Drosophila melanogaster: one gene and its partner. Changing the gene in region 1 together with any one later gene gives a genetic interaction. Each region holds a gene or a part of one and is shown in the gene's direction. Other genes may lie near its edges. The genes, in order: Dr and amos.

Region 1 (4,845 bases):
AACGAGACGCAGACAATGATATTAACGAGCTGAGGGGCCTCTCATCGCATTTTGCCGCCATTTCGAAATGTTTAATTGAAAAGAAAGCGGAATTGCCGGGCATCGTAATGAAGAGCTCAAGTTTTGGGAAGTTGGAAAAATTTTAATCAGTCAAGAGGGGCGTTGGAAAAGTGGTAAGAGGTATATCAAGTGTTAATTGAATGGCTGGGAAATGTGAGAAGTTCATAAACGAGTTTACTGTCTTGGTTTCTTTTAAGTGTAATTAAAAACGATTTCGGAAAGAGTTTGAAAAAAGTTCAGAAATTATATAAAAATATTTCTAAATTTCACCCAACCCATTTAGGCAAGAACTCAAATTAATTGGCTAGAATTTCCCCAATCATGCAGAGTCGTTTCATTTTCAGCATCGTTTGCAACTAATTAAGGCAACCACACAGCCATTCGTCAACTGTTCTAATTGAGCTCTTTATTTTCCACCCACTGGCAATTGTCATTAAAATCCTTTCACCAACTTGCCGCCCGAAAAGCCGAGCGAACCCGCACAATCCGACGCCCATTTCCCATTTTCACAACTTGGTCCTTCGAGCAGCGGAAAACAAAGGAGCAGCTGAACAATGGCTGGCAAAAGTTTTCAAGCCAACAATTTCACATAATAATCCTTAAAATGAGTTTAATTTGTAGAGCGAGAATTATAAAGGGTGCGGTATTCCCGCTCCCTCCCTCACTCCACCCGCCAACCTTGCAATTTATGGAGCTTATGGGGGTTGGCAAAATTCTATATAATCCTGCATATTTCACATTTATATGTATGTGATTGATTCGGCCGGGTTCCCGGGACGTTCGATTTATGTGGACCGATCCGATTTTTATGGCTTATCTCCTGAGGTGGAGCAAAAGGGAAGAAAAAACATAATTTCCTGACCGAGATTGCAGCTTTGCGATAATGCCGCTCCACCCGACATTTGATGCTTTTGGGGCCCTGATAATGATGGGCTTATTATTTATTATATTGTTCTTGTACGCTAAGGACATGTAGGAGTGCCAATTAAAATTGAAAAACCGCCTGGTCTATATATACATACATATATATGTACATATTAGGCGTACATAAAGCTTAAAAAATCACGCCAATTTGGCCAAATGAAGTCATAAACGATAAAGAGGGAGATAGAGGGAAAATGGAGATGGAAGGAAAAGCCAGAAAACCAAAGTGGAAATGGACAGGCGTTTGCCGCCGCTGCTTGTTATAAAATGCTAATACGCGCAGCAGCTCGAAAAAAAAGTGGAAAAACGCTTTGAAGATTGAATTATTCAATAATAATTAGGCGTGCGACAGGGACGGCTATACTGCGGGGCAGCTACACCATCTCTGTCTGTACGGCAAGAGTGCGGCAAACTCACCACACTGAAGCGAGAGCGAAAGAGAAAAGAAGGCGGAACAAAAGTCAGAAAAGTGGAGAAATACAAGACTCACACCGGAAAAAAAGAGCGAGCGAGCTAGTCTCGAAACCAATAAAAATGGTGTCGCACGCGGTGCACTCCACCACGGGAGTGAGAGAGAGGCACGCTCTACACAGCCGGTTTCCCACCACCAATCGTCGAGTGCGTCGGTGTGAGTGAGTATCTGTGTGGCAGGCAGCGGTGCATCCGAAACTGCGACCACAGTTTCAGTCGCAGAACAGACGTGATCTCAAGAGGACGTGTCTCTCTCTGGAAATAAATAGCCCCTGAAAAGATACAAAACGCCGCGTGTGACAGTGTGTGTCTGTGTTTCCCAAGCGTGTGACGAACGAGCGCATTAATTGAAAGATAATCAAAACAAATTAACAGCAGACCATGTCTCAATGAACCAATTAACCGGCGCACCTAAAGCACAGTATTAACGAGCCACAGTTACACAAACGATCGAAAGGCTTTATGTTAAAGCTCAGCCCAGCGAGCATGACAGTTACAGGTCTGCGCCAGACGATGACCAGTCCCACGGTGCCGCCGAGCAGTAACACTCCCGCGGGTAACCTCATCATCACCAGCAGCAGTAGCAACAGCGGCAGCAACAGCGGCAGCAACATGAGCAGCGGCAACATGACCAGCAGCAACCTGACCAACCTGAGTCCTAGCCACCCGGCTGGCCTGAATGCCCTGGCCAGTCCCACCTCGCCGTCGGCACTGCTGCTGGCCCATCAGCAGCATCTGCTGCAGCAGCACCAGCAACACCAGCAGCAGCAGCAACAGCAGCAGCAGGCGGCGGCGCTCCAGCTGGCCGCAGTGCATCCGCCGGCCCACCATCTGCACAAGACCACCTCCCGACTGAGCAACTTTAGTGTGGCCTCTCTCCTGGCGGACACGAGGCCCAGAACGCCACCCAACCAGGCGGCGGATGGACCCCAGAACCTGACCAGTTCGGCGGCCACCTCGCCCATCTCCCAGGCCAGCAGCACGCCGCCGCCTCCGCCGGCCAGTGCGGCCGCCCAAGTTCCCGCCAACACCTTCCATCCCGCCGCCGTCGCGCACCACGCCCACTTGCTGCAGGCCGCCCACGCGGCTGCGGCGGCACATGCCCAGCACCAGGCGATGGCCGCCCAGCTGCGCCAACAGCAGCAGCAGGCGGACGCCCGGGCCAACTCGCCACCCGCCTCCACGAGTTCCACGCCCAGCTCCACGCCACTGGGATCCGCACTGGGATCGCAGGGCAATGTGGCCTCCACTCCCGCCAAAAATGAACGCCATTCGCCGCTGGGCAGCCACACGGACTCCGAGCTGGAGTACGACGAGGAGATGCTGCAGGACCACGAGGCCGATCACGACGAGGAGGAGGACTCCATTGTGGATATCGAGGACATGAACGCCGACGACTCGCCGCGCTCCACGCCCGACGGCCTCGACGGCAGCGGCAAGTCGCTGGAATCGCCGCACGGTCCGCCGCCGGGCTCTCACATGCAATCCACGATACTTTCCCCGGCGGCCCTGGCCTCCGGTCATGTGCCCATCCGCCCGACCCCCTTCAGTGCACTGGCCGCCGCGGCGGTGGCCTGGACGGGAATGGGCGGTGGAGTTCCGTGGCCAGGAACCAGACAAATGCCGCCCTTCGGACCGCCTGGCATGTTTCCGGGAGCAGGATTCGGTGGAGGTAAGTGTCGTTATCCAGTTCTTTGTGGGGTTTTTGTCAGCTTGTTTTCGGTTTTTGTACTTCCTAGAGGGGAAATGATAAACCTTATCTGTTACATGTGCTTAACTGTCCTGTCCTAAGCGATATTTTAAACTCATTTGCAATGGAGGATTCAGCATGGGCATAATTAAATAATGGGAAAATAAAAATATATATAGGAGAGAATATAGAACTCAAAAGGTTTACTTCAAAAAAAATAAAAACAACCTCAACTCTCTTTCGAAAATATTTTCAATTTAGAGCCTTAACATCAAAGTAAATATGAGTGTATATATAGTTACATTTCATATATTTATTTATAATTAACTGTAAACCCATAAACATGAACTTCTGAACCCGTGAACAATAGAAATACGCGAATTCCGCTTGGGAGCAAATTCCCCATTAGCAGCCAGCGATGTGTATTCAAAAACGATTTATTTAATGGAGGAATTTCAAACCACCCACCCCACCCCTCATTGTTTTATGCCCCATGTGCGGTGGCAACTTTATCTACACCATTTTGTGTCGCATTTTAATTCAATTAACTGCCGCCCCTCGCCTTAATTGGCATCGATGGTGACTCTCCGCTCCTGGTCGGACGCGAGCTGCGGGTGCTCCATCATGGCCACCTCGTCGTCATCGTCATCATGGCTATGGAATGGAAGTGATCGTGACTGCAGTTTGTAGTCAAAGTGCGTGGCAATTATTGCGGGGCCTTAAATAAAACAATGAAAACTGCCTGATTGCGCTGGGCCCATTATTTGATGATGATGATGATGATGATGGCTGATGGCTGATGATAGTCGCGTCGGTTCTGATTTGACTCAATTGGCCACGTCTGATTATTCATTGCACTCGCTGGCCAGCGGCGTTTTTCGGTGTTTTCCGGTCTGACAGCCAGCCAGCCCCCCATTACCGTTCCCGAATTGGAAAATCTAATAATAAGCGCGTAAAAAGCGGACTGTCTAACCGACCAGCCAGACTAATTGAAGCGAGTCTGGCTGTTTAACTGGGCGATCTCTATCTGCATGCACAGTTCACACTTTGCCTGCATTTCCTGGACAAAAAGCACCGCGGGTCGTAGGGAAAAACTGGTGGAAAATCGGGGAAAACACTCGACAAGTCACACTTTGATGCCGGACTGACATGTGAACTTTACTCGGCCATCGCGAACTCTGCGTTTCCGCTCCTTAAAGTTGCTCAAACACATTCGAAAAACTCGGAAAGGGCGGTGCAAAAACGGTGGGCAAAAAAGTGTAAATTTGCTTTTTATATGCAGAACAGCAACTATTGTTCCTGTTTTTGCTGCATATGCTCGGGTTTTTCTTGCCACTACAAAGCATTGTTTTATAAAGCTGTCGGCTGTGTTTTGAAAAAAAGGGCTTCAAATGGGGTGTTGTATTAGGAAATTTGGGCTTTAAAGTAGGTTAGTTCGAGTATTACCATATTACCGCCTCATTCAAACTATTAATACATGAAATTCCAGAACTGCATCTCTAAAAGTGCTTTCATAAATTCCAAAATATTTCAAAAGGGAACTGTTCAACAAATCGATATAAATCAATCTCGATGTGGGCCATCAATTCACCGCCCTTCATCAACCACTTGAGCTATCTTTCGTTCCTTCCCTATAAAGATGCCGAGATGAATAAACTATTCCAAACATTTGCCGCTTATTTTGTCATTTGGCTGTCAAC
Region 2 (3,375 bases), on another chromosome or scaffold:
CGAATTTACTTGGAAACAAACAAATCTTTGTATATAATAATTCATAATTCCAGATTATTACATGGTAATTATGCTCAGGACAATGAAGTTAGGTCTGATCCATTTCAGACCAACAATGGGACCAAAAAACAAAGATCCATTGTCAGGCATTGCAATACAAAGAGTGGAATCAACAAGTGTCGGGCGAGAAGAGATTCCCATGGAATTCCTGGTGACTCCGGGACTCTGACTTCTAATCTCATTTTCGCAATTTAGCGCCAACAACTAATCCGCAAAGCGAAAACGATTAATCTGGCAGGGAAAACCCAAAAACACGCAACTGCCAGACGTATCCGAGATTATCATCAGGTGACCTATTGTTGGTCAGAAGAAAAGAAACAAACGGGCATGGATATGGATGGAGTGCGGAGAGAGGTTCCCACTTTCAACCAGAACCGCCCACCAACCGACTACCTATTGTTGCTATTTTGACAGGATCGAGGTCCCAGGTAGCGCAGAAAAATGCTAATTGGAAATTCCAGAACCTCTTTTCGAAGGCGTTGCAGATCTTTAGGTTATCCGCGAACCTTTCTCCCGAAAATATTGCAGCATAATGCCTAATCTGGGCCAGGATTTCGACTAAGCTGCGGTCGCGTGGCACTCTTAACAAAGTGAACCGATCGAGCGATCGATCGATCCATCAGCTATCATCATCATCGTCAAGATCAAACGTCAGGATCCTTTGTCGGCTCGGGACTTTGTTCCTTGACAATTTGGGCGAAGTAACTGGGCCATCTTGCAGTGGCATCATTTGTACTCTTTAGCCATGCTCGGCGCTTCTCGGCCAGTGTTTTCCAATTGTTTTGCCCAGTTTCCTTAGAAATTCAGCGAACTCCTCGAATTGATTTTCCCTCTAATGCTGCGAGTCTGTGGAGTTAATTAGCCTTTCGATGCGGTCACTTGAAAGTGGGCTTGATCCCAAGATGACTGTGGAAACCAGAGCATACGAATGAAAGTATATAATGTGAGGGTGCAACATATTGCACCAGAGTTTCGAAGGACCCATCGAATGGTTTCAGCATGTTAAAGTAGTGTAGTTTTATTATCGGAAAAGTAACTCTTCAGTAAAGGCGTTAATATAGCACATTTCAAATCCCTTAATATGAAAATAATAATAAATAATAATAATGTGATACTTGCTTTGATTTCTTCATGCTTTTTTGAATTTCGAACTTCTCGACGTCCTGTAATTTGGCCATTGAAAGCAGGAGAAAGCCACTATTAATACACCCACTTAAATTTGACCCAATAAAGTAAGTACAACCGCCTAAAATCGAAAGTCACAAACCGCACAAGCACAATTGTTGCTCTTTGTTCTGTCCGAAAAATGGGGTTTGCATCCAACCAGTCGAGCACTCCACTCACTAGACCACAGACATGCAACCAAGATGATCCATGGCGATCTTCGATGGAGGCACACATTGTGGAAAATATTCCCATATGACAAGAGTCTTTTGTGCGTTCGCATTTTGACCTTGGCTAAATTTTGTTTGAATATAAAAAGTCAATTCCAGGGCAAGTAACAAAAGAGGTATGATTACAGACGGTAGCCAAATGACAGGTCAAACAAAAGGAGTCGACCTGTAGCTGATACAGTAAATACCTGGGAGAAAGAGGGAGAGAGTTGCAGCCAGAGACAATTAAACGTCTTGACCGCAAGCCAATTTAGGGCACGGGCTGTGCTGCTGATCCTCAAGAGGTTGGCAATCGGGTACCTGAGCGGATCGGATCAGCTTGAGGCAGCGAATCAGGTAACAGGACATATGTAGTGAACCAATCACGTGAGAGCTGAATCCTCGGCAGGCAGCTATATAAAGACCCATCCTCAAGCAGCCACTTCAGTTGTCCCTTGAGCCTGCAAACGTAAACATGTTGACCAACAACGAGCTAATGGAGCAGTTCTACTTCCCCGACGAAGCCCCAGCGATTCCCGAGTTCCTGAGCAACGACACCTTCCAGCAGTTGGAGCAGCTCATGTACCAGCAGGAGTTCAGCACCAGCGACAGCCAGTCGGATGGCGCCAACAGTTGCTCCTTGGAGATGTATTACGATACGCCGTCTGTCCTGGAATTGGAGCACATGCTGAATGCCCAGGAGCAGCAGCAGCACCACCTTCAAGCGAATCCCTTGGGCAAGAATCAGGGCAGAAGTCCAAGGTACTGGAACAAGCAGCAGAGGAGCAAGCCATACGACAAGCTGTCCACTTCCATGTCATCATCTACATCCTCCGCCTCTTCGAGCAGTTCATCGTCCGCGGGATTCGGTGGCGAAGTCCTCAAAAAACGGCGACTGGCCGCCAATGCTCGGGAACGGAGGCGGATGAACAGCCTGAACGATGCCTTCGACAAGTTGAGAGATGTGGTTCCATCACTCGGCCACGATCGGCGACTCTCCAAATACGAAACTCTGCAAATGGCGCAAGCATACATCGGGGATCTGGTCACGTTGCTGTCCAGAGACTACTAGCCAGTGTGGGCGATCCTTTATCCTTTCTTCCTCAAATGGAAGTTCCTTTTGCGGGCTGTGTTGCAGCAACACCTTCATATCCTAGTGGAAATCTTATAAAGGCTGTTAGTTTTACGTTTATTATCATAGTTGTACACAATTCAAGCAATAGTTTTATAATAAAAATGAAAATACAAATCAATTATATTGTTTTAAATTCATATCGTATGAAATGGTGGAGTTGGAATGAAAATAATGTTGTGCGAACTTGGAAATTTATATTTTGTTTGAATTGTATCTTTGCATTTTTTGCTGGTACATATACAGAATTTAGAGCAGATATTTTTAGAGAGAAAAAGGGAAAAATCCAATAAATATTTAAAAAAAAGATAGGAAGTTTATAGGTACTGAAATGTAAATAACTTATCAGACTTATTAATTTACATAAATATATGTAAAAACTCCATTTATCAATCCAACTGATGCCTCCACATTTGTTTTTATTCGCCACGCTTTCATCTCAGCCCGAAAAAGGGTATCCTTGTTATCCTTGAAAGATGAGAGCGGCATGGCAAGCTAGGCAGTGCGCCACGCCCACGAACCAAAACGAAAGGTCATAACATCAGTAACAAACCGAGAATTAATGAGTTCCGCTTCCGACTCAAAGTGATGGAACTCCAAAACAGAAGTGATTAAATGCCGCAAACGTCAACAGGTAAACACACTGAGGATAAACACAGTCGCTACCTTAGATCCTTCGAAGATTAGACGAAAATTGATTTAAACATAGTCATTTGTAAGTGCTATGGGAACTGTGGGTGGACCGAGCGAGTATCTATCTGAAACGGATGAAGTCGAGGATCCAGAAAGACAAAAGACGTATCGTACACA

Evidence for each region.
Region 2: of Dr (region 1) and amos, changing one suppresses a phenotype caused by changing the other (phenotypic suppression), as found in Drosophila melanogaster (one study listed by BioGRID).

The regions. Positions count from the first base shown.
Region 1 is NT_033777.3:29,554,719-29,559,563, forward strand, and holds the start of Dr (drop), read left to right. Parts: upstream 1-1,667; 5' UTR 1,668-1,917; coding exon 1,918-3,127; intron 3,128-4,845. UniProt on the Drosophila melanogaster protein: Plays a key role in the specification of proneural and promuscular cluster formation. Required for the specification of dorsal and lateral muscle progenitor cells. Regulates development of peripheral nervous system derived from lateral neuroblasts.
Region 2 is NT_033779.5:18,595,440-18,598,814, reverse strand, and holds amos (absent MD neurons and olfactory sensilla), read left to right. Parts: upstream 1-1,893; 5' UTR 1,894-1,908; coding exon 1,909-2,505; 3' UTR 2,506-2,679; downstream 2,680-3,375. UniProt on the Drosophila melanogaster protein: Transcription factor involved in early neurogenesis; sensillum basiconica formation and maybe sensillum trichodea development. Promotes multiple dendritic (MD) neuron formation. Required for olfactory sensilla; regulated by lozenge (lz).